4 linked regions of the Astyanax mexicanus genome follow. The protein of the gene in region 4 interacts with the protein of the main gene of each other region in a biochemical or structural test. Links are inferred from orthologs where the notes say so. Each region holds a gene or a part of one and is shown on either strand. Other genes may lie near its edges. The genes, in order: mta1, prmt2, grip1 and esr1.

Region 1 (7,281 bases), on a different chromosome or scaffold from region 4:
CAATGTTGCAATCTCTCATGTAAAGACTTAAGAGTATAGGTTGAAAGAGTATAGGCTGTTACTGCAGCAAACTGATTCACTTAGTTATTTGAAAAAAATTCATTTGGACTAGCAAGTCTGCAAACATTTTAACCAAGAATAAGTCTTTATTTACTTTTTAAAGAAAGATATCCTTCTAAAATTCTGTACAGCCAAACACTGTTTAATTAGTCCCCATTTTATACATAAATATTTATATTAATTTTATCATATTGTCATAAATTTTCTTATTGCATGGACAACATACTTTAAGAAAATTCAGTTAGATTAGATGATGCGCCGCAAAAATACAATAAAATTCATCGTCATTCATGAAAGAGTATTTGAACAGCAGAATCTGATACTGATTTTTTTTTTATGTCAAAAGATGATAAATACTGTGTACTGTGAAAATGTTTTTATATAACGTATAATTGAGCATCATCTCCAATTCACTACATATGACAAAAAACACATACAAAGCTAGCTCACTATCAAAAACTTCAAGAGACAGAAACCGGACCACAATGAACTGTAAGAGGAAGACTCGTGCCATATTTGGCAGGGTAGGGGGTCTCCCCCAAGACTGAGGTGGAAAAAGACAGTCTTAACTGATGACATGTTCCACTACTCAACTGCTAAACTGTATCCCAATTTAACTTTAAAAAAGCTAAATTGGGAAGTTTACATTCTCAGAAAACTACCAACTTGTTTTTGACACGTAATTTAGTATAATAAATGGCTACAAAATATTACAGAGGGATTCGAAATTGACTTAATTTCTTCTGCTCACAACATCATTCTAGGCTTTAAAAAGTCTTCACTGAATTTACTTATGGTATTCATTACATCTGTCACCATAATTATATGTTCTTGACTTTATTAAGTTCTGCTGTTCTTGATACCAACCACTGTATTTACTCAATAAAAACAGGACTAAAACATATAGGGCAAACTTTTAAACTTGCGAATTGCTGGAAAACACACTTCTCTCCTAGACTATTATTCATTTTAAAAGTGTATGGTTCTCTAAAAGGGTGTTATTTTATGATTGTACCATTATATGCTGAATATATCAATGGTTGTTTTCTATAAAGACAATATATAATTTTTCACAATAATATCTGTGACAATTGTGCTGATCAACATCACCCTTTGGAGTGATGTGGGGAAAGAGCTCCATCTACCCACAGAGCGAGCAAGGAGAGCCCTGCTCTCTCAGGGCTCCTGTAGCTGATGGCAAGCTGCATGAACGGGATTTAAAACAGCGAGTATTTTAATGGTTACAGTTTATATGCACTACATATGCTGCACTTTAGTTTTGTGGTATATTTGTGTTAGTTCCATTACTTTACTTTTATTACACCTTTTTTTTTTCTTTTACAAAACCAGGCTCTGTTTTACGAATCAGACAATTGTTTATATATTTTTTGCTTAGACTAAATAAAACTTTAATATCTATTTTGTTGTAGTAGTAACTATGTTGCTAAAATTATTATTTAATAAAAATCAATGTTTTGTCATATCGCCAAGAATATCTTTATCGCAAAAATACACCGAAATATTGTGATATTATTTTAGTTATATAACGTTAACTGTTATCGCCCACCCCTGCTTCAAAGCAATTGAAAAAATTGAACTATTCAATACTTTTATTTTATAATTATATGTAACTTAACTAACGTACTACTTCACACAAGAAGGCTAGGTTAACTTAACCTGACCAGCGTTAGTTAACTAATTAAGGACGGACTCACGTTTCCACCACGGCTCACTTCTCTCTGTTTACCTCCTCGTTCAGGAACAGGTTAACAGCGGTAAAGTACTCCAGTTCGTAGCTTTTCTACTGTCTGATAGTTTTTTTTTTACTTCCATGCTCAACCAAACGTTCCCTAACGTTACTTCTTGTGGCTGAGAAGTAATTAACGTTAGTATTAACGTTAAGTAATTAGGCTAAGCTAGCTAACCCATAGCTAAGTTACGTATGTCTGGATAGTTAGCTGGTTAACTCACCCGTTACTTGGCAACTAAGCTATGAGCTAAGCTAGTCAGCTTTTTTTAAACATGCTACATGATATGTGAGGTTTCTTTAAAAACTTGAAAACTTAAGTAAAAAGCTTCAGTTCTGGGGGAATTATGAGCTTTGGCTGTTTGCTGGTGGGGTATAGGACTGCAGAGCTGCTAGCTAGGTTAGTTAGTTGGCGTTAATTAACTAGTAAACCTAGCTAAACTCACTGTAAATACTAAGTTACTAACCTATGTTTAGGTTAGCTAAGCTAGAATACTCCAGTTTTAAGAAAGTAAGTTAGCTAAACGACACATTTTGGAGGGGGTTTGAAAGCAGCTAGCGTTAGTTAGACTCTTCATCTTTATCCCGCTCCTCATCATCATCTTCATCCTCCTTTGGTCACAGAGCATGAGGCTCTCTCTACTCCAGCTTTAGGAAATAAAGAGGAAGGACACGGAGAGCTGCTCCAGCTCTGGGCTCTGAACTGTAACTAGCTCTATAACGCTGTATATACCCGAGGCCGCCGCTCAGGGGAGGGATAAACATACACCAACACAGAGACACAGACAGGCAGAAAACGTGCTCTCTACCTCCGACCCGGTACATGTTGGCTGCCATGACTGCCCCGCGTCCTGGTGGCTCCAGGTAGGGCTTCCTCACGCCGTCGCGAGCACTGCCTCCGCCGCTGAGTGTGTTGGAAAATGGTGGATTGATCAATACGAAGCGGAGCAGTCAGGGGATCTTAAAGAGACAGTGCGCCCATTTTCACTACTCTGCTTCACCGCGCTACTCGGAGACTCGCGCCGGGACAGAGCAGCTGAGGGACTCGGTAAGAGCGCGAAAACAAAGCGGGGCGGCCGGAGGGAGGGAGAAAGCGGGCTGGCGGTCAGGAGAGACTCGAGGGAGGAGAGAGGAGGAGAGGCGGAGGAGGTGGAGACCGCGAGCATCACCGTCCAGCTCAGTCTCCGCCTCCCTCGGAAATACCGAAACAATCGCTGTTGTACAACTTCAGACCCACTAGAGGCAAAATAACAAAGTAAACAACTGTTGCTTTCAGATTGGAACCCCCCCTCAGCTCTCCCTCCCGAGCCCTACAACACCCCACCATCTCCCTAACAGCCCTCCATCCCTCTCTCTCTTCAACACAAAAACGAAAACCTAACCTAGTTAACGCTAGCTGACTGTATTCTACAGAACAGTTCCAGTTCCAACGGTTACAGTGCCACTAATGTTGCCAGGTCCAACAAAAATATCCAGCCCAAAATCAGAAGCTTGAACTAGCCCAAAATATCTGTCTGTCACACGTTTGAAGCAAATGTCAGAACAACTATGAGTGTACGACTTTGTTTGATTTTTTTTACAAGGTGTTTATTATCAGGATTGCTATTTATCTTAAAGTCATTAATAATTTTGAAACATTAATGTTTTATTAGTTATCTTATAACAGTTTATATCAAAGTCCATAACATTTGATAGTAACATAGTTAGCAAAAATAATAATTTACTTACTTACTAATTTCTGTTCTTGCCCCTCCTGAACTTTCTTTTCTCTTCTTTAACATTTTTTTTTTCATCGCCTTGTGATTTCTGGTTACTCTGTGGTTTTTACGTCTGGTTACATTCTGGTTACTCTCTCTCTCCTGCTGTCCTCCCTTATGTCGTTATGTTCTCCTCATTCTTATGGTTGTTGTTAATCAAGGAAGATTGATTTTAGTGTCAACCTCTACATGTTTGCCCACCGTGTTGACGTTTTTGGCAGCCGCCACCACTGAATTTTCACCCGCGACTGGATTTTCAAACAAGCCCAATTTGGCGGGAAAACCGCAAACCTGGCAACTCTGTTGAGGTTTAAGGGTTGGCCTGTAGCTCACCTGATATCACATTTCCCTTTAGAAGCATTCTTCAGTGGTCCACAGGCCCATACTCAGGGGGGAAGTTAGGAGTAGTTAGTAGTGGTTCAATACTAGCAGTTTTTAAGTAAAAAAGGTAAAAAAAAAAATAGAATAGAATTAAAAAATAATTTATTTCAGTAATTCAGTTCAAAATGTCAAACTCATATTATATAGACGTATTACAAATAGATTGATCTATTATAAGCGTTTATTTTTTTATCATGGCTTACAGTCTATAAAACAAAAAACAGCATCTCAAATTTTTTTGTGGCAGTGTGGGCAGTGTACCAAGTCAAAAAAATCAAATCTGCATCTCCATAAAAGTAGTCAGCAGAGGAGAGCATCAAGTGCTGACTTTGGACTTGATATAACACAGTGGACCAAAACCAGCAGATGGCATGGCTCTCCAAACCATCACTGACCATCAGTAAATTGATTTTTGATTTTGTTTTAGTTTTTTCTTTAAGTTTTAAGGACTGAAAGCCTTGATCTATTGGTTTCAGACCAGTATAACTAGTGACTGGTGGCACTGTGGTTGACGTGAGTTTGTGCGTGGCTCACCTGATATCACATATCCCTTTAAGGGACACTAGCATGGTGTAAATAAAGGCAAAAGTCATTCATAGACTTTCCAATGGTAGGCTGTTTTGCTGTGTTTTTGACGTGTGTTCTAAAAATTCCAGCCCGCCTCCTCCCAGAACTCTTAATTTCCTAACACTGGCACACTGCAGTCAGTAAGGCTTTTAATTAGGGCCCGAGCACCGAAGGCGCAGGCGAAGCCTGCACCGGAGGTGCAAAGCCCTATTGTTTTTGGTCCGTTTATTATTATTTTTATTTACAAACTTCGCGCCCATTTTTGAGGCCTTTCCGATACTCGAAAACTCTTGCATTTTGGCACAGACGTCAAAGCCGGTGAAAAATTTTAAATTACATTGTTCACAGGTTTGGGCGTGGATCAGGAGCTCTATAGCGCCCCCAAACGTTGCCAGTGGCCGGGATAAAGTTTGTCCAATGTGCACCAACTTTGGTACGCTCATTGACCTCATTATACCGATCAAGAATCACTTGGATTTATTTGACTCCGCCTAACAGGAAGTCAGCCATTTTGGCAGGAAGTCACAAAATAAAAAGTTTCCCGTGGTGTTTTGGGTGGGTTACGATGTTCGAAAACTCATAAAATTTCACAGGCCTATTGGGCATAGGATGTACTTTGATGTAAAATTGGAATTTTTCATATTCATAATTTATCAGCTCTCTAGCGCCACCTATTTTATATGACATTTATAGAAAGCTCTTAGCCTCTTCTAAATTAGCAGACCCAATAATGCCTTTAAATGATTTCGAGAAATGTAATCATTTTTCTAATGTGGTGCTAAATGACTCTACAGCGCCCCCTATTTGGTTTAGGCTAATAAATTAGCGGTAGCTGTCTCAAATTTTCCCCAATGTTCAAAATTTTTGGTAGAAACATAGATATTACGATGCCACACATAATACCCATTGGCATGTATTAGCTCCGCCCAACAGGAAGTCGGCCATTTTGAAAAATGTTAATTTTTTAAACATTTTTCACATACTCATTCGAACTCCTCCTAGAGTCTTTGTCAGATTACAACTAAATGGTCTGTGGATAGTCTCCAGACATACATGGTGCTAAATTGCGAAGGAATAGTCGATAGCTGAAACGATGACGTAATGGCGGGCAATTGATTTAATGGAGACACAACACTAAACCAAATAGAAACATTAGCATGGTCAGAATACTGCTGCTTGGAAATTCATGAAACTTGGCAAAAACATAAAAGACATCATTACACACATTTTCAGTGTTGATATGATTGACTCCGCCCAACAGGAAGTCGGCCATTTTGAAAAACATGCATTTTACACACATTTTTTGCATACTTTGTCGAACTCCTCCTAGGGAATTTGTTGAATACTCTTGATATTTGTCAGCAATAAACTACTACCATCCGTGATGATAAATTGCGAAGGAATAGTCGATATCTTAAACGGGGACGAAATGGCGGACAGTTGAATTGCTGGAGATACCCCATTAAAATAGGAAGTAAATACATTCTGGTGTTGGTAGGTGTTTGAGGAGGTTAAACAGGTTGAACACTCACGAAACTTTACAGGCCTGCTTGATTTAAGCGGTCCTTTGATTAAAAATTGAAATTTCATATATACATATTTCATTGGCTCTATAGCGCCACCTAGGTTTCAATGCATATTTGACATTACGGAAATGCTCAAAAACTCTTGAAAATTGTCAGATTCCATAAGATCTAAAAACACTTTACAAATATTGTGATAATTTTTTCATGTGTAGCTAGCGGACTCTATAGCGCCCCCTAATTCATTCGTTTAATAAATTAGCTGTGGATGTGTCACAATTTGTCTGATCTTCTCAAATTTTGGTAGGAGCTTAGATACTGTGGGCTGCGTCCGAAATCGCGTACTTCCATACTAAACAGTATGCAAAAGCAGTATGCGAGATCGGGTAGTGTGTCCGAATGCGCAGTAGGCGAGTTTGAGTACGCGAAAAGTTCCCGGATGACGTACTGCACCGGGAGACATTTTTAAGTATACAAGCCCAGCACACTTCACCCGCTAATATTTCCCACAATCCACCGGGAGCCGCGCTGAGCTGAGTGACCCGTCAGTGAGCGGCGGAGGAGAGGAGTGGAGAGAGAGAGAAGTTTATGAGGTGAGGAGATTCAGATATATAAACTGTTTTGGTTGTTTGTGATATTAGGCTGTAAATGAAAGATTTATGAGGGTTAGTTTAAGTTAAAGTAGCGAGTTATAGGGGTGTGGGTTTGTTATTAATGCTGTTGCAGACAGAACATCTTTATTTTCGTATCTGAACTGCTTTACTGAGCAGCGTTAGCCCTGTGCTACTGAGATCAGTTAGCTTAGCTAGAGTTATTAAACTTATCACAACTCTTTATTAATCTTCTGTTCTGCAGCACCAGCGTTTACTAACTCACTACAGCCCTGTATACTGCTGCAGTTCTGAGGAGCTGGGGCAGTTTTAACTTAATACTGATCAGTCTGTATAAACTCATCTGAGGAAAAAGGCTGCTGATATCAGAGAGGCTTTTCAACAGACAGACAGACTGGTTGCCAAAAATCACATTAATAAATTATAACCAAAATCTGACCATTTTATTTAGTTTTATTAAATAGCTAGCTAACCAGCCAGGATGGTAAGACTTTTATGTTGTTCAGAATTTATATTATATTTGTTTAATGACCAAGCTAAACTGATTTAATCTGTGTGTGTTTCAGATTCAACTATCCTTCCTACTCGAGAGGATGAAGATGAAGAGAGGGAGAAAAATGAACAATGAATAAAAA
Region 2 (7,002 bases), on a different chromosome or scaffold from region 4:
TATATATATGAATATATATTATTATTATTATTATATTATATATTATTCTCTTATAATTATTATCTATTGTGTTTATCATAAAAGTGATGATAAAACTGTGATCAGACAGAGGAAAAATAATATAATGGGCTTTTTGTTTTGTTTTGTTTTGCTACGTTTATGGACGATCACAAGCAATCAAACCAAACTGAACTGCTTAATTTTTTGCACCAGGAATAAAGGCAAGTTATCCAAAAGCAGTGTGTAAGACTGGTGGAGGAGAACATGCCAAGATGCATGAAAACTGTGAATAAAAACAGTTTATTATTCCACCAAATATTGATTTCTGATAACGTTCCTGTGTGTTAATGTCCTGCTGTGTACGTATTTACCGCTGCAGGTTCTGCTAGACGCCCACAGAACAGACTGATGATGCCGGTGCCGCAGCCCAGATCCATCACCACTTTCCCCCTCAGGGCGGTGCTGTTGCTCAGGATGACCTGCCGGTACGTCTCTGTACGTGGTCTGTCCGACAGCATCTCCAGGTGAAGTTTCTATAGACACAAAACAGGGAGGCAGAATTGGCCGAAAACACAGATAACGTTCAGAGGAAGTCTGGAGAGCTCTGTGGAGACGATTCTTTAACATTCCTGGATTGTACAATTCAGTTTATGACACTTTCACCTTTAGGACGAATTTTTGTCCTAAAAAACGTTGTTTTTGTGAAATTTTTACATTCTTCTTTATTTTAAAGAAATTTCTCAGTTTTAAAGTTCCTTCAGATTGAGCGTTTTACCAAATTTAAGGTTGTTCTTAAAGTGTCATTGTAAAAGAAGAATAAATAAATAATCGAGGACATACAAAGAATAACCATATACAGTAACAGTCGGAAATTAGGGCACTGGCTAAAATAAAATATATATATCTTAAGTATCAGCAGCATGTACGCAAATGATTCCTTTATGTGTGATTTAATGTACATCTTTATAAAATAGACTGCAATGAGTTTCCTACAGTTAAATTCAAGTCGGTGGAGAAGATCATGTGTGCTTTTCTCGTAAATACGATATTTCCAACACAACTTTAAGGCAGCCATATTGTTTAATGGTAAAATGATTTCTTACCAAACTATCACTTTAATACCAAACACCATAATAAAACAGGACACTCCCCAAAAGTCAAACACTTACCAAAGTTCCATAACTTCCAAAATACTCCTCATCCTGCCAGCCGTCCTCCACCTCAGCATCCGGGTGGTGCAGGTAGCCGGAGGGTACATACCCATAACGGCCCTCCACCTCCGCCCACCACCAATCAGCACAGCTCTGATCATGGATCAGGATCCGGTCTCCAACTGCAAAACTGAGCTGTGAGGAGATCCAGAGTCAGAGTAACACTTTCACACATTCAGAACACCTAAAATTAGTAGTTGAGCACACCCATATGAAGTGTTGTCTAAATACCTTTGGAAATATTGGGGTAGATTTTTTAAGGTGGAAGAGTCTCAAATATTTAGTTAATGTGAAAAAGCTTCAGACGTAAACATTAGCTAGATATTAAAGGGGGAACAGCCTAGATTAAGCATTAATTAGTTAGTGTGGAAAAGCTTCAGATATAAATATTGTATAGATATTTAAGGTGGAACAGTATACATAAAAGTCTATTATTTAGTGTGGAAACGCTTCAGATATAAATATTGTGTCGATATTTAAGGTGGAACAGTATACATAAAAGTCTATTATTTAGTGTGGAAACGCTTCAGATATAAATATTATATAGATATTTAAGGTGGAACAGTCTGAGATATATTAAAATTCGCTAGATATTTAAGGTGGAGGCGTCACAAAATATTCAGATATAAATATTATATAGATACTTCAGGTGGAACCGTTTATATATAAACGTTAATTACTGTGCAAAAGCTTCAGATGTAAATGGTAAATAGATATTTAAGGTGGAACAGTCAGGATATAAGCATTAATTAGTGTGGAAAATCCACAGATGTAAATATTATATAGATATTTATGGTAGAACAGTCTGAGTTATAAACATTCGCTAGATATTTAAGGTGGAAGCCTCACAAAAGATTCAGATATAAATATTATTTAGATATTTAAGGTGAAACAGTCTCAAACTGTGGAACAGTCTAAGACATATAGCGTCATTTAGGGTGGAACAGTCTCAGATATAAACATTATTTAAAGTGGGAAAGCTTCAGATATAAACATTAGTTAAGGTGGAAAAGCTTCTGATATAAACATTAGTTACATTTTAAGGTGGAACAGTTTCGTATAAAACAATTTAGTTAGTCAGTTAAGGTGGAAAAGCTCCAGATGTAAACATTAATTAGATTTTTAAGGTGGAACAGTTTCAGATATAAACGTTAGTAAGTTAAGGTGGAAAAGGTTACCAGATTGAACTGAACCCCTCCATGGAAACTGCCCCATAACTATTTAAGGGGGAACAGTCTCAGATTAAAAAACATCAGTTAAGGTGGAAAAGCTTCAGATTAGCTAGCTAAACATAGCTAGATATTTAACGCGAAAGAGAAACGCGAAACGCTAAGACAGATTTTATTACAGCCTCAATTACAATCAATAGTTATATTTAAGGTGGAACAGTCTCACATAAAAAAACATTAACTAGTTATTTAAGGTGGAAAAGGACCAGATATAAACATTAGGGAACATTTTCCCAGACTACTTTGAACCCCTCTCTGGAAAACTGTCCCTATAACTAACTATTTAAGGTGGAACAGGCTGAGACGCAACATTAGCTAGCGTTAGATATTTAAGGTGGAATTGTGAGGCTGGTGTAACAGACCTGCTCTGCTCCGCTGCCGGTAAAGTCCTCTAACGCTATAAACTCCTCCGGCTCCGGGTTACTCTCTCCGCTTTCATCCCCATTCATTTCCAACAGACAGACAGACAGACAGATAGACAGACAAAAAAGCAGACAGACAGACAGACCGACAAACAAACAAATTAAACCTCTCTCTCCCCAAACAGAGGGGAAACCGAAACCGGAAGCGGAGCTGAACCGGACACGCGCGCTCTTTACTCCCCCCTACAGGCAGGCAGCGGAACTGCAGCACCCAGAATAAACATATTAAATTAAATATTTTCATTTAATTCTATATTTTAGATTAATATTAAAGACATGAAAACAATTAAGAGACACATATTAAACTACGTAGTAAACAGTAAAAATGTGTTTAGTCCTCCACATTAATTTTGCATGTTCCTGTATAGCTTTAATATAGTCTTTAATATTAAAATTACAATGTAAAAAATAATTTAAACAAACCCTAAGAAAACACATTGAATGAGAAAAGGTGTGTAAAAAACTTATGTATAGCTAGTCTGATTGTCATGTAACAAATAGTTTTAAGGCTGTAATGGTTTTTAGTGGGACAAATCATTTTGCTGTTCATATTTTAGTTTTAGTTTGTTGTTGTTTGCTGAACACAAACATTTTGATATTTGAAGTGTTTTTATTTTAAACATATAATAAAATAAAAATAAAATCATAATAGTGATCGTATCATATGATATACATGTCAGACTGTATAACAGGTGCTGCGCTCAGTAAACAGCAGTTCACTATTTGCACTTTTTCTTACTATGTGCAATAAAACTGTTTAATTACCATGTGCAATAGCTAAATTCACCAATAATATGTGCAATACCACCAATTATGTACTATTTATTTGCCATTTATTTATGTCAGCCTGTGTACAATAACTGTGATCACTGGTTATTGTAGAATATACACACTGGAGAACCAGATTTTAGATATATATATATTTTTCAGTATAGTTATGTTTTCTTGTATTTTTGTGTGTTATACTGTTGTATTTTTTCTGACACCTCTGTTCTGTCCTTTGCACTGCTGTAATGTTGCAAATTTCCCCGCTGTGGGATGAATAAAGAATCTTTTCTTATCTTATAAGATGAAGGGTGAAGGTTAGTCATGATTCAGCAGAGCTGCAAGAGGTGTTTACGTGTTTTATATGTGTTAAGTGCCTTACAATATATTTCCACAATATAATATGTTTAATCTATATTTTAATAAATAAATAGCAGATATGTTACTTTTATTTGCAAGAAAAATGCACTTACCCTTGTAAAAGAAAAGTGCATTTTAAGTTGGTATTTTTTTAAAGTATGGTTAACATGGAAAAGTACTTAAATACATACTAATTGTACTTACGGCAACTTAAGTATATGTTAGTTGTAATTAAGCTATATTTAAATACAACATAAAAGCTTCTACAAACTTAAGAAGATTTAAGTAACGCAGTGTTTAATCGGTTTTTAATGTCACTACATATATTTGCTTAAAATACATTTATGGAAATACAGTGAAAGTATATTTAAAATGTATTTTCATGAAGTATATTACATAAATTCTGAATGGGTGGACAGACTTGATAACAAACTCAATGACACACAAACAAACAACCCTTAAAATATTACAACTAAATTTTATTTTTTCACTGAACAGAGATCCGTCACAACTCAACAGGTTCTGAAAATATATTCTTCAAAAAAAAAAAAAAAAATGTTAAAGATTAGAAAATACCACTAGATCAATTTAAAAGAATATGGAGTTTTTTATAGTTTATTATGTTCAATTGTCAATTAAATGAATAATCGGTATTTTACCTGAATCAATTAGCAATTTAGCATAATCAATATATTATCCAGTATTTATCCAGTATTAGCATGATCTCTGGTTCCTTTTCTTTGGGTGATTCATATTTAACCATGGGTAAGAATCCATCTGCGCTAATAACATAAATATATATATATATATATATATATATATATATATATATATATATATATATATATATATATATATATATATATATATACTGTATATATATATACACACATAGACTTCGCATAGCCTGCCCAATGGCGCTGGCTGCTATGCTATGTGGAGTCTATGTATATCTATGTTTATCAGTACAGTGATGGAGGCGCTCAGAGCTAAAAGCTTTATAAAAGTTTTTAATTAGCTTCTTGTGCACTTTTTAAGTTATTAATGTCTCGTTTCAAATGTCAGGGCTCTCTGGATTCTAGCAAGGAGGTGTGGAGCTACTTTGAGCTGGATAACGGTGTAAAAAGCGAGTTATCGGGGCAAATTATGCCCCTGATCACCCAGTCTAAAGGGTGTTTGGACAAACTGTTAAAATTTCTGGATCTCAGAACGCTGTGGGAGAACGGAGGTGTGCTATTCATCAAAGATAAGTACTTTTTATCATGTTTTACTACAACAAAATTCTATTTTACACCAGAGTTCTCCTTTAAGGCCTTTTCAGTGGAATCAGTATAGTTTCTGTATATTAAATCAGTGATTTGTTGTCTATTGGAGATGTGTGTGAGTTCCAGAGTGCTGTCTGTGCAAGTTTAATGGACAAAAACACACAGAGCCGGTTTTAATTTTAAAACAGGCTGCTGTAAGAGGGTAAGGCGACCTAGAAGCTTAACTCTCACACGTGTTTAGTAGAACTGTGTGCTGAGATCTGATAGATTTGGTATAAAACACTGAGCAGAAGACAGTAGTCAAGGTTGAACTCTGGAGCTTCTCTTTGAAAACTTTTGAACTTTGATTTATTTTTCCCTTTTATTTTTTATTATCTATTGCATCCCATAAAATTACTTAAACAAACTGGCAAAGCTATTTTAGGACTGGAACTCATTTTCTTTATGTAGTATCACACACGATACACATAAACCAATCACAAACAGACAAAAAAATGTTCAAATTACTAGGGCTGGACCCGAATATTCGGGTATTCGGATATTCGTTCGTTGAGTAGGTATTCGGTTTTTAATTTTGGTATTCGGATATTCGTTTTTTTTCTCCTTTCCAGAGTTCCACCTCACTCTAACCACTTCTGTTTTCGCGGGTCCCGTCAGAATATCTTGCGCGCGGGACAGAGCTGAACTGTTATTGGCTGGAGCGGGGGTTTAATCCAGACGATGCGGGAGCAAATTAATAAATAGTTAAGAAAACTGTAATAATTGTAAAAAAAAAAAAAAAACCTAAAGAAAACTCTCAACGCGCAGGATGGACCGACACACACACGCACACACCGATGGTGTTTGGACTGGGGTAAGGAACGGGACCACACTATTCAGCGCTGCTGTTTTAATAAATATATAAGTAGATTTGAAGCATTAAATGTAGTTTATTTAATTTATATTAGGAACGTGGGGCGGGAGCGGCAGAAATGTGTATGTGGCGGGCGGGCGCGGGATTAAAAGAAGCAATTTTTTTGCGGAGCGGTAACGAGACAGAAACGCGGGAGCGTGGAAGAGTGGGTTTAAAAATCAGTCTCGCGCAGACCTCTATTATACATGATAAAAAAAAATGCAGGCTCTTCGAAACTGATTTATATAATAAAACGTAAGAGGTAATGTGGCAACAGTAGGGGCTAAATCGGTTACAAAAGCCTGGCCTACAAAAATGATGTCTGAACGAATTTCCTCTTATCTAATATAATTTAAAATGGTTTAAAAATATAAAATAATTTCTAAGCAAACGAAATATTTAATATTGAGCTTATAGCCCAAGTGCAAAAATACAAAATCAGTAATACGGCTATGCCCTGCACAATGCTTAAACCGAAATAGACCAAGTACAATAACGTCATTAACAATGACTTTCCTCTACTCTAATATAATTTAACATGGTTTAAAAATATAAAATAATTTCTAAACAAACAAAATATTTAATATTGAGCTTATAGCCCAAGTGCAAAAATACAAAATCAGTAATATGCCCTGCACAATCCTTTAACCGAAATAGACCAAGTACAGTTTACAATGACTGTCCTCTAATATAATTAACAATGTTTAAGAATATAAAATACTTCCTGAACAAACGTTTTTTTTGTTTGTTTTTTTAAGCAAATAGCCTAAGTGTGAAAACACAAACAGCAATTTACTGGGCTGGCTTGCGCAGCGGAGAAACCGTGCAGCAGCAGCCTCCTAGCCTGCTTACGCAGCG
Region 3 (8,000 bases), on a different chromosome or scaffold from region 4:
TGCAGGAAAACAAATGGCAGGAATTGAAAGCCACAAAGCTTCTCTTTATCCTCCTTTTTGGCGCTCCGCTGTTCCTCATTTCCCAGATTTATGAGTGAGCATGCCCTGCCCGAGTCTTCCTTATTGTCGTGGTGAAATGAATCATTTTTCAAAACCCAAAAGTGTACACGTCCCCCAAGCCAGGGGAGGATGGGGACTGCAGACGGATGAATCCCATTAGAAGGCAAATGGCAGGGTCTCACACAAGTAGGAGTTTGATGAATGTACAGGAATGGGCAGACTACAACCTCAGCATGAATTATGCATGAGGTTGATATAAATGATGCAGAGAGGAGGGGCTCTGAAGCACAGATGAGGGTAGGCTCAGTGACCAAGTGTGACATTTACAGTTTTTTTCGGTCACAGAAGTTAATTAGCGTGGGTTGCCACTGTGCGCTCCGGGATGCGTCGAGCCACAGCTGTAAGTCTGGCTTTTTAGCAAGATCTACTGTCATCTCAGGCCTAATTGTGGCCTTCTAGACTCGCATACCAACAAACTTGAGAGACTCAGGTTTAAACATCTCCATGTCGGATAGGTCCCCATATCTAAAAACTCTTCCCAATGCCATTTATTCCCCCACTTCCTGTGTCTGACTCACTTGGACTCCAGCTGGGCCAATTAGGTGTCTAATTTTATGTTGCAGAGCTGAGCTTTTGCGATTGCACATCAAAGCGAATATCTGACTAAACGCATGCATGCAAGAGCGAGACTACCGAGAGAGCCGGTTTCCGCCATCAGGCAAAAAATCACAGTCGTAACCATCCGCTAATGAAAAAAGCTCCTATTTAATTAATGGTTCTGTGCACATTAAACAGCATGCGCTGTAGAATAAAACATGACTCGAGTTGTGCAATCAATTAAGCCAGTCATCATCCATTCAATTCTCAGGCTGGGTGAGTAACAAAGAGTCGCAGGGAACAACAAGAACATGGTGGCTCTACGGGTTTGGGGTCCCGACGTGAGGCCACAAACCACAACATCAAAATTCAAGCAACTGCTTAATCCTAAGGTATGAAAATACAGACATTCCAGACCTTCCTGAATGTCAAAGGCCTTCACTCGCTCTACTCTGTGCTCTGTGGACTGTTAAGGAGAAAACCCTGAAAACAACTCAGTGCTGGTTCTGAATGCTAACCCAGCAAGCCAGGAGGGCTACGGCACCAGAGCAAGGTTCCGTACATCTGTTCTGGGTCTGACTCCAGGTCATTCCATCTCTCTTACTCAGCAAAGTAAGGAGGGAAGGAATGTAGATGACAGGCCTCCCTTTGCTCCCTTGCCTGTCATTCCATTTACAACCTTGAGGTCACTAGTTAGGGGGAACTGCTTGAGGGAAGAAGTACACAGCTTAGTAGTTTAATAGATAAAACCTGCTTCTCAACGCAGAGCTGCGATCAGCTGAGTTCCACAGCTGTACGTAATGGAAGTAATGGAAGCACTAAGCTAAGAACAGCTAATGAACGACTGCAGGAGGCAGGAGACAAACGCTTCTCTTCCGGGGGCACGAAGAGAGTGCTGCTTCATAATAGATGAAAGTAGGTGACGGAAGACGGGCAGACGGCTGCTGTATTTTTAAACAAGCCGCTACACACTCTCACACACACACAGACACACACACCACACACGTCACCTGAGAACAACGTGCCTTTAGGGCGAAGCAGCATGTCAGCAACGGCGGGGGAGGGGTGACAACACAAACACACCTACCTACCTTTCTATCTATCTTCCTACCTCATTTAAGACAAGGGCAGAAAGCAAACAAGCATCCAAACCAACCAACTAACCAACCAACTAACCAACCAAACCTTTAGGTGGTGCAACACTAAGGCATTAAGGTGGCCTGCACATGGCCGGGACTGACCACATGTGCGCACACACACAGTTCGCTCCGAGACCTTCTCTGACAAACCATTCACGCTCAATCAATAGAAATAAGCGTTATCCGATACATGCCATTTATCAAGACTGGCAGGACACGCTCTTTACTGCAGCCACAGGCACACCGACGCAAACGTGTGTATACACACACACACATACACGTGTTTGTGACAACAGGCAACTTGAGACATTGAGACATTATCACATCCATTATCGCCCTGCGACCTGGCCACACTCCACAGGGCTTCACAAGCTGCGCATAAGCCTCTCGATTTGCCCCCCGAAACAAAGTCAGTCCCTCCTTTCCAACCACCCACCCCGACTAACCATCCCACCTGCCCGCCTGCCTGCCTGCCTCTCTCTTATTGCCAGCTCAAGGCTAATGATTCACACTGATGGTAAAACAATAAAACAGATCTGTGGGGGCAGGATCCCTTGCCGGACCCCTGCACAGTCCCCGGGATGGCATTCAGTCAAGCAGGACCACTTACTGTGCAGGTGCTCGGAAGCGTAGTAATACACATCCTCATAGCCCTCGTGGTAATCCTCTTCGGGCCGGTACTTTTTGCCCTTGCGTCTGCGGGACCTGCGAATTTGCTTTACAAAGCCAAGGAAGCGTTCCATTCCAGCGATCTACACGCAAAACTGCCGCACTCCTCCTCCTGCTCCAGTGGCAGCAGCAGTCAGAGGCAGAGGCAGAAGAGGCAGAAGAATCAGCGGCAGCTGGAGCAGCAGTAGCGGTAGTAGTAGCAGCGACAGCAGCAGCGGTAGTCTTGGCAGCGGTGGCGGCAGTAGTAGCGGCAGCAGCGATGTGAGAGTGTATTCCGCTGCACAAAGAGCTGCTGAAAAGAGAAAGCGAGTGATCTCCTAAAGACTGAAGAAAGAAGAAGGCAGGGAGCAGCAGAGGAGGCGAGGAGGGAGGAGGGGGTATAAAACGATAGGGAATGGGTCAAATATCAGCTCCTGCGGACCTGGCCGACTCTTCCGAGAGAATAGACCCCGTCCAGCCCGGCTCCCTCTGCCCAGCCTTCAGCACTCGCCGCCTGCTGAGTAGTCCATTGTGTGTGTGTCAGTGCGTGCGAGAGCCAAAGAGGGTGTGTGCGCATTGTGGAGTGTGGGGAATGAGGAGCGAGAGAGAGAGAGAGAGGGAGGGAGGTGGGGACTCGTACACATACAGAGGAGAGGCCGGCTTGTTCTTCTGCTTATTCCTTCACAGCAAAAGAGAGCGAGAGACACAAAGTTCAAAGGACCCGGCAGCCAGGCGAGGAATCCCTGAGCTGTGGGTTTATGCTGCCACTTCACTGCCCACCCTTCCCCCTGCTTTCCCCCTGATTTGCCAAAAGCTAAAAAGCCTGAGGAAGGTGGAGAAGCTGCACAAGGTGGTATTTTGCGTGCCTCCAAGAATGCGGGCAATAAAGACTGAAGGAATTCCAGATGATGTCCTATAATTTAAAAGAATCCTTTGAAGAAAGAATTTGTGCATTTCTGCATTTTTGCACCCCACCCCCTGCCTGGGTTAATCTGTGGTCAGAGTAGAATTGTGTAAAGTTGATTTTTAACCAGCTGAAGTTGATATTTATTCTTTCAATGCAATGGAGTCTGAGAAATGTCAATCATCGCATTCTGAGATGCATTGTAAATAAACTCACTAGACCTTTTCCAACATTCCCCACTACTTCTATATTTGAGATTTGCACAATTTACGAGAACAAAGGAATCCATCATCGTAAGAGCACAGCTAACTAAGGGTGTTTTCACACCAGCACTATTTGCTCCAGTTAAAACACACTCTGGTGCGGTTCGTTTTTTTTTAGCAGGTGTGAAAACAGTAATAAAACTCTGGTGCAGACCAAAACAACCATACCGAGACCCCCTAGAGGAGATAATTTCAGACCGGTTCCAAACAAGAATGTGATCCGTTCTCTATCTGACTCGACAATCAAAAATACTCCTTTTATTTGAGATAAACTGATAAGCTGTTCAGGTGCAGTTTAACCTGATTTATTATCCAGACAATTAACTACTGTAACTATGAACTAATGCTCTTTCTGCTTCATGCTAAGCTGTTTCAACACTAAACAAACAAGAATGTGTTTTACTAAACGTGCAGATTTTCTAAAAATTAATTTTTAGATTGTCAGATCAGTTTTTTCGGTTTAAAAATGCATGTACGAGAAGGTTTAAAAGTTTACATTTGAAGTTTTGATATCTCTAAAATGTTTGCATTTGCTCTGGTATCAATGCCATTCTCAGTGCCAATATTTGCTCAGGTTACCAGCCAATGTTATTCTTGTCAAAAAAAAACAACTACCAGAAAAGAGAACATAGATTTCCCTCCCCACTCGTGAATAGTACTATAGCTTGTAACTTAAAGCTGCAGTGCTTAAAAAGTAAGTATTCTTTTAAGTCAGCTCTAAACATATGTTTTTTTTCCCTCCAAAAGCCCATTTTTAGAGGTGCTGCAGCACAGGAGATGATGCACTCAGACAAGCTGGAGCGGGTGGGTGTTGGAGTGGTTCGCATTGCCAAACAAACAAAAGCATGAGGGGATTACATTACAGCACCCTCCACCAGCAGGAGTTCCAGCCCTAGCCCCATCTCCAGCCACCCCAAACACGGACTGAGCCGCTAATAGCATTAGCGTTCCAGAGCGGTACGTGTTAATTGGGCTGATTTCCACCAATGACACCTCAGCTTCTGCCAGCAGTCAAGCAGCGCGTGACAGTGACCCACATGGTGAACTGGGAGTGTGCAGCCTGCCAGACTTGCTGCTGCTGGTGGTGGTCTCGCTTCTTTGTTTTACAGTGTTTTAGAAAGGCATTGCTTCTCCTTGATGTGGAACAGAGCTGTACCCGGCTGCCTTCAAAAACAAGAACCAGCTCAAAAACACAGGTTTTCACCTTGTCATTTTCCGACCTGAAGCCTACAATACCCTACAATATTCTCCCAGCAGCTGTGACTAATGCAGGACCCCGGATGTCCGTGTTCAGGGGGGTCGGGGGTGGGCTTTCTAGCCCACATTCCCAGCTCAGACGCAAACAACACAGGAGACAAACAAACCAGCCTCAAAAAAAACATCCGCTCATGCAAGAACATGCCGGCAGCTCGCTCGACAGAACCTGTTCGCATGAGCTCTTGAGGTGTGTGTTTTGAGGTAGACAGAATGTGGAGTGTGTGGGGGTGGTCTCTCTTTGTTCTTTTGTGAAAAAACGAGGAGCCAGTTTAATCTCTCCCCCCATGGGCACGGCATGGATTATCACATTTAATCCAGCAGATCGAGACGCTAATGTAACATCAAGGATACTGTACAGTATATGGCAACACAAATATACAAACAGACAACAATATAATATACAAAAACATGTTTAATAGTTATTTTCTCTTTTTTTTTTTTTTTTTTGAATTTAGAAAAAATGGAACCAAAAAATACAAAAGGAGATAATTACTATCAAAAAACTTTTTTTGGGATCCATTTTTTGGATCTTGTTGGAAAATAACAAACAAAGAGCATTTGCTTACAAAATCATTCATACCCCTGCTATTACAAAAACATTTGGCTACGGGTAATCAACAAAATGGGCAAGGCAAAAGACTATAAACAGTGATTTAAAAAAAAAGGGTCAATATCAAAGTAGGAAAAACAGCAATGTATCCTACATTACTTAGGACTGAACTGTGCAAATTGAGGGGTATATATACTAGGGAGGACAGGTGGAACCAATTAGTAGCTAGGAGAGCAGGAACACCATAGCATCATGTAATCAGTGGAGTCATGGAAGTCCATTGTGGGTGCATGCTGGCAAGTTGAGTCTTTAGAGGACAATCTTGAGCAGGCAGACAGACAGCGTCAGGACTGACACATACATTGTCTTTGTCTAAATTGAGTTTGAATATATTACACAAGAATATGACAACAAGAATAAACACTATGGAATGGTATTAAGGTAATGGTATTGGCATATTTGTCCTTCAATCAATTAAATCAGTTTCCAAGGCAACATTTTGTATTTGACACACTGCAATGCACAAAGCTTTCACTATATAAACTTTACAAGGTAAGAGGAAAAACTTTTGAAAACGCTGCCACTGTGATCAGTAGATTTCCGGTTCGAAACCTGTTCATGTAGCTTGCTATCGGCTACCGGTGAGAGCCTTGAGAGAGCACAACAACAATTGGCCTTGCTCTCTCTCTCTCGGGTGGGTAGATAGCGATCTTTCCCCACATGACTCTAAAGGGTGATGTCGATCAGCATGAGGCATCTGTTAGCTGATGTATTAGAACCGAGTCACTGCTCTTTCCTCCAATTCACATGTATCAGAGGAGGCATGTGCTAGTCTTCTCTCTCCTGGTGTTGGGGCATCGTCTTAGAGTCTTAATGAGTGGGTTAGGTAATTGGCTGTGTACATTGGGGAGAAAACGGAGGGAAAAAAAGTGGAAAATGTCAATTAATGGAGATGAATTTTTACTTCAATTTATTATAAACCTTTAATTAACTAAACTGAGACTTTTACATTGAGATTTGGAACATGTCTAACGATTAAAAACCTCTACATCTCATTGCTCTTCCACGAGGCGAGAATCTGTTCCAGTCTGGAACTGTTGCAGGAGATTATGGCAAACATAAGGGAGCACAAGACAGCTCAGCCTTCAGGGCTGCGGCGGCGAATCCCTTGAAAGTTGGTAGAGAACCACCGGGGGACACGGACGAGTTCGTCCAATCTGTCTGCCACCTGCTGCAATCAAGCCACTCCACAGAGCCGCTATTGATTAGCGCTAGCAGAAAAGCCTAGACTTGCGCATGCACGCATGCTACTGGGAATTGACTGAGCTGCACGGCTGTAGAATTGCGCAGCTCCGTCGTGATTCGTGGAGCACCATGCTCTCTTTTGCGTGTAGTGAAAGGTTACACGGAAGTAGTAGAGTCTACATCTACAGCAACTGTAGGGTCGGACTAAAGCCTGAGGGATGAGGTTTGAGTGTATTTGAAATGAAGAATCTTCTTCTGAGCTCTTAAGCTCACCATCATCTCCGTGTTCAGTCGAGCACAGTAGTGAGCAGTGGTCTTAGGAATGCTTAGGAATCGTGGAAATCATGGCGCCGTTCCAGGTATGCTTCTCTCTGAAGATTGTTTCAGATAAACCACTGCAGTAGGGCACAGCTTAAAAATTTGATCTTCTGCCAACAAGCTCGTCTTGCACTCGTCTCTCTCTCTCTCTTTCTCTCTCTCTCTCTCTCTCTCTCTCTCTCGTTCTCCTGCACACTCTCTCCTCCTCCTTGTCTCTCTCATTTCTCTTCACTTCACTGCTTCCTGTGCCATCTTCACTCTTCCCGCTCTTGCTCGTGCGCCACTTTGAGCACCAACCCCAAAATATCGCCTGCATCTCATCTTTTTCATGCTTTGCCAATAATTACATTTATATTTGTGCAGCAAACGCTGTGGCAGCAGTATATGAGTCACTTAACATGCCAGAACAGATAAAGACAGGCTCTACTCATCTTAAAGAAACAGTTTGAGATGAGCATTTACCCCGAAATTAATTTAAACTGACATTCAGAACCACTAACCGACAATTTTACGTAATCAATATAAACAACGCAATTTCGTAGGTTATTGATAGGATTACACAGAATATATTCGTCTGAAGATAACAAAACTTTGTAAAACTGTGTAAAAAAAAGGCACATACTAGGTTAAACTGAATAAGTAAGAAGACTGAGTACTTTGTATTCAACAATGACTTGTTTATTTCAGTCATATTATTTATATAAATCATAGTTTATTTTAGACCAAAACTGAACTGCTGAGGTAAAAGTAAAACTAAAAGTGCACTGCTAAGGGGAAATGCAGGATTAAAACTGCGCTGCTGAATTAAATGCAGCATTAAAACTGCACTGCTGAGATAAATATAGGACCAAAACCGAACTGCTGAGGTAATTGTATGACTAAAACTGCACTTTTGATGTAAATGTAGGACGAAAACTGCACAGTTGAGCAAAACTTTGATCTAAAACTGAATTGCTGAGGTAAATGAATAACCAAAACTGAACTGCTGAGTTAAATGTAGGACTAAAATTGCACTGCTG
Region 4 (7,752 bases):
CAGAAGAGATGATGGCCCTTTATGTAAATGGGTTTGACACTCCAGCTTCAAAACCATAGTTTAAAAAATGCATTCTGTTAACAATTTTGGGTAATTTAATTGTAATTTTACTGAATGTTAATTCAATTCTTGATATTCTACAGATTTTTCATGCAGTTCATGTACAGCTCAGCTCATCATTCTGGACACATTTTTTATTTTCTTGATAGGTTCTTATTCATTTTGTGATACATGTCCATTTTGCATATATACATATTATTTCATACATGTGTAACCAGCCAAATTGTTTTTTTTTTGTTTTTTTTTACTTTTAAAGGATAATGTAATTCAACTAAACTACACTCTGAGCACATCTGTATTGTGTACGTGACATCGAGTAGGGTCACACAAGATGGGCGCTGTTCACCTCTGACCTCTTGTTCTAGTGTAAGTAAATGTTTGTTTTAAGCTTAATTCTGTTGTTCATCAAACTACTGCGTAACATCTGAGACAGATTGGACCACCATCACTGAAAAACACTCACATAATCAGCTCACTGGGTTTTATGGCTCATTGTTTGATGTACACTAGATCCTGTTTATTTTCTTTCTGATAAGAAAATACTGTAATAACATATGTTTACACTTTAACTCTGTATGAGATGTTGCATGTCCAAATCCAATTGTCCCTTTCCATCCAATTTTTCTGGAAATCAAGAGTATTATAGTTGGCTGTGACAGTCCTGTGAGAATTTGAGGATCAAGCACTGATGTTGAATGACTAATATTTAATATTAATGTGTGTCTGCTCTGATGGGCCCAATCCCACAAGTATTGCTTTTCTGTTAATCTTATATACAAGCTGTATATCATCGCTGTTCAATGAAAAACAAGTATCTCCAAAACTGCAACATTTTATGTATTTCTGTTGGTCTGTTCATCAATAAATTTTGGCACAGTGTAAGGGACAATTTGTCTGTTCAAATTATGCAGTAAACTAAAAATCGACAAAAATGGAGCTACTAGTTTTTTATTGGACAGCGACGATATGCACACCAGTATCAGCATTGTGTGCACCTTAAAGTAGATCATTCACATAATTAGAATAAGTGTCTGGATTCTAGTAAAAAAAAATTACAAGGAAATATATATGCTAAATTTCTCAGAATTCACCATTAACCCTACTTATCAAGGAACATCTCCGTCGTTTTATTTTTTCCTTCAAAGAGGACGTGATAATCTCTGTGCACTCCTGTTATTTGCACAAATAGTTCTTTTCTCAAGGTTTAAAAACAAAATTAGCTCTGAGCTCGTACAGACCATACACTACTGGGATACTTATAAGAAGTGTTTCTTTCCATTGAAAAGCTGTTCTGTAAAGTTAATGAAGATAAAAGCTGTTCTACTGGGAACTTTAAAAATACTTTTAGCACCAAAAAACTAAAAAGTCTCTCTTAAGAACACGTTTTAAGGTGCTACACAGAACTGAAACCTTTTTGTTTAAAAGGGGTATTTAGAATATACATAAATAAAGTGCTAGTAAAAAAGGGATAATGGCATCAATAGGAATGCCTCCCACAATTAATGCACTATGAATAATTCTTGTAAATATGCTGTAGGTTTAATAGGTAACATCTGTTTTTCTGAGTGCAGACTAAACATGGCTCATTCAGACTCTCAGATAGTCAGTGCTTCAGTGAGCCGTAATTGAAGCGTAAGGAAGCTTTATCTTTCATCTCAGGTCTTTAACACACATACACACACACACACACATAGCCACACACATTAACACAATTTACAGGAAAAGAGTAACAAGTCACTTGTTCTGTTCTTTGTAGTACTGACAAAGAATGTGAAGATGCACACAGTGGGTTTTATTTCCTGCTTATTATAAATACAAATCACTTGTTCTGTTTTAAAATACATTTAACTACTAATAGTTACAGCAACTACTAATCCTACTTAAATGTGAATTTATTGAGAATGTATAACTATAATTTGCAGGTTCTTTCTTTACTTTCATTTTCTGTGTTTTATTGATGACACAAACATGGGCAAAATATAGAGAATGTTTTTTTTTATTGTTGATGTTTCCTCAGAACAGAACTGCACATCTAACATTTCACTTATTTCAAATCATAAAGAAATATTAACCAACTTTGTATCGCTCTATGTGTGGATATTGAAACAAATTTTGAACTTAGTTTGTTATCAGTAGGAATAGTATTAGCATCCTTAATGTAATTCTTATTCTAATAGCCTTTTAAGGGCCCTTATAGTAGCTGTACATCAATGCTGTCCAGCACAGTTGCTGCTTTTCCTGCTCAATCTCATCTACTGAATGTGGTAACTAACCACAAGAGATAAATAAGGTGTGCTTGAGGACAAAGAATCAAACATTGTAAATTCACCAAACATACACAAGACAGCAGAGCTGGAAAAGCCATGTTGTGCTTTATATAGATTCATTGTCATTTAACAAAATGACTAAAAACAATGAGCACTCATTTTTATACTGTGTGACCTGCAGAGATGAAACAGAATGATACATTTAAAGATAGTTTAAAGTCATTCTGACCTGTAGACAGAGCTGGCCGAAGGCTCCAGGTAGTAGGGCACCTGTTGCTGACCCCCAGCGTGAGTCAGATAGGTGGGTGGCTGGGGGCTGGAGGACACAAACACCAGTGGACTGGCCGACCCACTGGCCAGAGACTGAAGAGTTTCTTCGGCCAGGGGCAGCTGGGGGTCCGGAGGCGGTGGGTAAAAGCCCACAGGGGATGATCCGACGCCGGAGGCTGGGTTGTGGTACTCATAAGCTCCATCCAGGAAGTGGACAGTGGAGGAGATGCCCCCCTCCTCTGGGTACATGGGGGAAACTTTGGGGGTCAGCTCCAGCTCCAGCTCACTGCCTCGTCTCGAGTTGCTCCTGCGCCGCTGCCTGCTGCCACCAGCAGCCTCAGCATGCGCCTGCTCACTAGACATCACCACACAAACACACACACACACACACACACACACACACTCACAGGCAGCATGACTTACAGCACCAGCTGCTCTCACACTCTGACTAAGAGAAAGGGATTTTTCTCTTTCTCTTTCCCCTACCCTTCCTCTTCCACTAGCCCCTCCCTCTTTTACTCTTAGTCACTACTTATTCAAGCACAGTCTCTCATACCTAGTTTAATATGCAAGTAATAAGCATATTACTGAAATAATACTGAAATAGGTTTGTAAGAAATTATAAATGTAATTTTGTCAATATCAACATAATGTGCCATTTGTATTCACAACATATATGTTTAAATATCATGCAAACACTATGTAACAATAATTTGTTTTACTTATTTACTCATTACAGATTATTACAAAAGCATAATAATATTTACCTTCAATTTAAAGTACTTTTAATATATTATATGCAGTTTTCTTTATCTGCAGTGCATTTACATGGTTAAATCATGAATAAAACACATTTATTTTAGTATTTAGCATACTATTTTCCGCTCAATGTGTCTTATATTGTCTCTAAATGTATTTGTGGTAAAGCTTAATATGTTCACCCTGTCTGTATAAAATATCATGCTCATTTTTTATATATATATATATAATTTTAGAAAATCAAAATGTATCTTTTAAACAGTTCAAAATGTCTGCAACTCTATGTCATCCAGGTTTTTATAAAATTTTCACTATGTTTTCACTAAAATATTCCACTCTCTCATGCAGCTTGCCAAAACAGGGTGGACAAATGCACGCATGTGAAATTATGAAGCAATAAAGCAAGGAATAAACACTGCCTGGACACACAAAAAAAATCACACACTCTAATATTTTGTTGGAGCGCTGTTAGCTTAGATTGCAGCATGCATTCACTGTGGTATTGTTTCAATAATCTTCTGCAATGTCACAAGATTTATTTCAATCCAGTGTTGCATTAATTTTTCACCAAGATCTTGCAGCATTAATGATGGTAGAGGCTGATTATTATAATATTCAGCAATATTCATTACTTATACAGCATCTACTACAGATTTAGCAAACAATACTATTCAGTAACTACTATGAATGATTAAATAAACGCTGAGTAAAACATTGGTTGATTGTTTTACGTTTTTTAATTACATTTAAGAGCTTGGGATATAAGGGATATAAGGACATAAGGGATAAAAGAACAAACTATGTTTACAGTGTAATACTCGTTTGAAGATATTGTATTAAACTTATGAAGTGATTATAAGTAATTTACTGAATATTCTGCTTATGTTAAGAGTGTGCAGCAGTGTGATTATCTTGTCACAGACGCACATCTTTCCCCTTAGAAACGTTCTTTCAGTCTGCATCTCTCTCTTTCTAAAAAAGGAGGCAAATTAAAAGACACGACTCGGTCGATAGCAGAGCAGGTCATCGCAACCAGGTAAACAAGAGACAGGAGGTCAGCACTTCATTCAGCTGCCAAACAGCCGTACAGGTGACGGATGCAGCGAAAGAAAGAAAAACATGGTAATGTGCTTTTCTGCCATCGGAAATTTAATTACATTCTGAAACAAACAATATAAAAAGCTTTAAAAGGTCAAAATCTAGAGTTTTTACTCATCAGGCAATAATGAGAAAGAGAAAAGCAGCTAAAAGAGTCTTATTGCTCTGGTATGATATTTATGAGGCAATATCTCAATTTAATATAAGCGGTTACTAATAGAGACAGAAGAATGAAGTGGAAAGTGAGTAGGAGTTCTGAGATAGGCAGCAGGGGTACAGGGCGTACTAGGAAAGGCTTGACTGGAAAGGATGAGTAACTGTGCACTTTAGTAGATATAGGAAAAACAGCCACACAGTATCGTGTAAAATCAGTTATGAAAACGGTTTTAGCGGTACACTGTGTAAATGAAAGGTCAGGTCAATGTAAAACACACAGCTCCTTCCAGGTCGATTGACATGGGGATACTAGTAGACTTGGGGACCCTCAAGTCCTGTTATTTTACAAGAGCTGTGAAGTAAGTTAGCACTTTTAAACTAGTAACAAAAAAGGATGTAGGCACAACACACACAGTATATAATGATCACTAAGACTAAAGACTGGTGTCAGATCATCCGTGGATCATTTAGTGTTGTTCTGATTGCTTATATATGGTTTATATTTTAAACTATGACACTTTTTACACTGGCCTTTTTCCAGAACTGGATGTGCTTTCCCTGCAGGACAAATGTGAAAGCTGCTTTTGAGGCTAATAAAGCACAATGTGAGGACTGGTGGTACTTTATTACTGTAATAATCTCAGCTTTGTGGAGTCAGTGAGGATACTGACAGCATAAAACTCTTGTTGATGGACAAAAATCATGAATAAAGGCAGCTTGTTTGGAGTATCACCTTTACAGTAAAAATCCACGCATCCCAAAAACACTGTAGTTGTTTCCAATATCCAACGTTTTTAATAGCAAAGGTATGTATGGAATTGTGCAATCAAGGTCCACGGTCAGTAAAAACAAACCAGTGGCAATGAGCTCCTCTCCCAAACCGGCCCAAAATTGGTACCAGATGTGGTACTAATTTTATTTTATTTTTTTTGTTAGAAAAAGTGTAAAAACGCTCTTAAAGTATTGCAATATACTGTGCCATACAGAATTGTAACCCCTGTATTGTGAAGCATATCATAATAAGCAATTACTTTAAAGTACATAAAAAAATAGCAAAATAGCTTAATAAAGTTTCTCATTAATACAGAATTAAACTAATGTCTGCAGTAATATTTGTGTACATGAAGTACTTGCTAATTATAATGAACTGGAACCCATTATCAATTTACTTTGACCAGATTTCAAACAGATGACCCTGATTTACTGATAAAAACATTCTAGATAAACATTCAATCATTCACTCAGTGAGGACAAACGAGAACCTTGAATTCAATGTTCATAAAATGAACTGTACTATAGATCTGTTTACAGCAAAGGCACGTTTTTAGAATATGGTTCACTCAACTAAACATTAAGGTTTATTTAGGAAAGAAATACAATGTTTTTCTATACTTTGTAGAACCTGGTTTTGCATAATTTTAAAATGATTATAATAGTATGATTTTTTTCATGATTTACATCAGTCAAACTGCTCATCAGTGGCATTTCCTTTCTAATAAACTAATGTGGTCAGGTGCTGACTGTTCTGACTAAGTGTTAAGTTACTATAATTATTCACACTAGTATTCACTACACAATAACCCAGGTCACAGTGAGGTGAGGAAATCCCCTTTGTCTTGCGCCTCAATATGAACCACAATATGTTCCAAATATCAGTCGTTAAAAAAATGAACAGAAAAACATTTACCAACCATTTACCAGCCTACACACTTTATGTGTTTAGAACGTGGTTCAGCTATTTTATATGTTTGTATTTATTTCTCTTACAAACTAGTCTTTTAGTATGAGATATTTAGTTACTATTCAATTTATTCTCTCCTCTGAATGTAACTCAGTAGAATTAGTAATGAGCTGAAGCACTAACAATATACAATATTAAAATTATACAGAATACTGCTCTGAAATGCTCAGCACTCATAGAAATGCCAAAGCCTGTTCACAAGTGTTTAGTGACAACTTGACATTTACTCACACTTTCAAATATTTGTACAAGACCACATATTTACTTTGAGTTCCAATCTTGGCACAAATATTGCATTTGCTGGCTAATTTTTTTCCCTTTCACTAAAGATCCTATTATGTATTAGGATCAAGTCTCAAGTGTTCATAACAGCAAAGCCTGAGCAGAACATATTTTTTTTATTTAAGTGTTTGACTAATGAACTGTCAGCAAAAGCAAAACACTTTAACAAACAAAGAACTCTGACAAAAGCACAAGATTCCTTTTAGGCACATTTTCCAAAGCCCTCTGAAAAAAAAAAAAAAAACAATGTACGGAAAAAAAAACCCAATGGAGAATTTCAGTTTATTTATTAAGTTTCAGTTTCAGCCAATTTTGCATTACAATATTACAATGGTAACTACGTGATCACTGTGACAACTTAAGTAAACATTTCTCTGTTTCAAAATGCCTGATAATTCAGAAAAACCCTGCAGCCAACAATCCTTAAGGCTTTAATCCATATCCATATGAATGATTATCCACACTGTAGCAGCACTCAACACAAAATAAAAGTTTATTTAAATCTTTGAAAGCCCTAACTAGTGTACACACTACTGTTCAAAAGCCTATGGATTTGAGTCACATAATCACTTTTCATATAGCCTACAATCGCATAACCAGGCTCATGTGACTCAAATCCACAGATTTTTTTTTTTTGTCAGGGTTTTGTGGATGTCATCTCTTGTTTTTCAAACTCTTTGCAAGCACGTGTCATGCAGCAGTACGGGCACAACAGATCATGCTTGTGATTTCTGTCATTTCTGTTAATGAGTAACTATAACGTTTTCCAGAATAACACCACACCAGGGTGGCAAAACAACAGAGGCGAGGTGCCTAAGCTTATATGTGCATTTGTGTTGTTTCAGAAACAGATTTACTCTGCAGACAGATCTGTAGTCTGTGGAACTAATATTCACAAATGTGAAGCATCAAGGCCTTTAAGATTGCCAAATCCAACCTAAGCAAAATTCTGAATATATTAAGGTTATGTGACTGCAGCCTGCAGAGTATTTATTGCTGTCCAATGAAAAACAAGCATCTCCATTTTTGTCTAATTTTAGTTTACTACATAATTTGAACACACAAATGGTCTCTTACACTGTGTCAAAACGTATTGATGAATGGACCAATAGAAATTCT

The links.
Region 1: the proteins of esr1 (region 4) and mta1 form a complex in vitro, tested with the Homo sapiens proteins (4 studies listed by BioGRID). The link is inferred for Astyanax mexicanus from reciprocal best matches to the Homo sapiens genes ESR1 and MTA1.
Region 2: the proteins of esr1 (region 4) and prmt2 form a complex in vitro, tested with the Homo sapiens proteins (2 studies listed by BioGRID and IntAct). The link is inferred for Astyanax mexicanus from reciprocal best matches to the Homo sapiens genes ESR1 and PRMT2.
Region 3: the proteins of esr1 (region 4) and grip1 form a complex in vitro, tested with the Homo sapiens proteins (2 studies listed by BioGRID and IntAct). The link is inferred for Astyanax mexicanus from reciprocal best matches to the Homo sapiens genes ESR1 and GRIP1.

The regions. Positions count from the first base shown.
Region 1 is NC_064421.1:24,341,201-24,348,481, forward strand, and holds the start of mta1 (metastasis-associated protein MTA1), read right to left. Parts: upstream 3,003-7,281; 5' UTR 2,645-3,002; coding exon 2,617-2,644; intron 1,978-2,616; exon of another isoform or gene 1,776-1,977; intron 1-1,775. UniProt on the Homo sapiens protein: Transcriptional coregulator which can act as both a transcriptional corepressor and coactivator. Acts as a component of the histone deacetylase NuRD complex which participates in the remodeling of chromatin.
Region 2 is NC_064418.1:45,908,810-45,915,811, reverse strand, and holds the start of prmt2 (protein arginine N-methyltransferase 2), read right to left. Parts: upstream 3,024-7,002; 5' UTR 2,890-3,023; coding exon 2,803-2,889; intron 1,347-2,802; coding exon 1,170-1,346; intron 534-1,169; coding exon 372-533; intron 1-371. UniProt on the Homo sapiens protein: Arginine methyltransferase that methylates the guanidino nitrogens of arginyl residues in proteins such as STAT3, FBL, histone H4. Acts as a coactivator (with NCOA2) of the androgen receptor (AR)-mediated transactivation.
Region 3 is NC_064409.1:11,298,506-11,306,505, forward strand, and holds the start of grip1 (glutamate receptor-interacting protein 1), read right to left. Parts: upstream 3,011-8,000; 5' UTR 2,540-3,010; coding exon 2,407-2,539; intron 1-2,406. UniProt on the Homo sapiens protein: May play a role as a localized scaffold for the assembly of a multiprotein signaling complex and as mediator of the trafficking of its binding partners at specific subcellular location in neurons.
Region 4 is NC_064408.1:79,147,826-79,155,577, reverse strand, and holds the start of esr1 (estrogen receptor), read right to left. Parts: upstream 3,020-7,752; 5' UTR 2,961-3,019; coding exon 2,557-2,960; intron 1-2,556.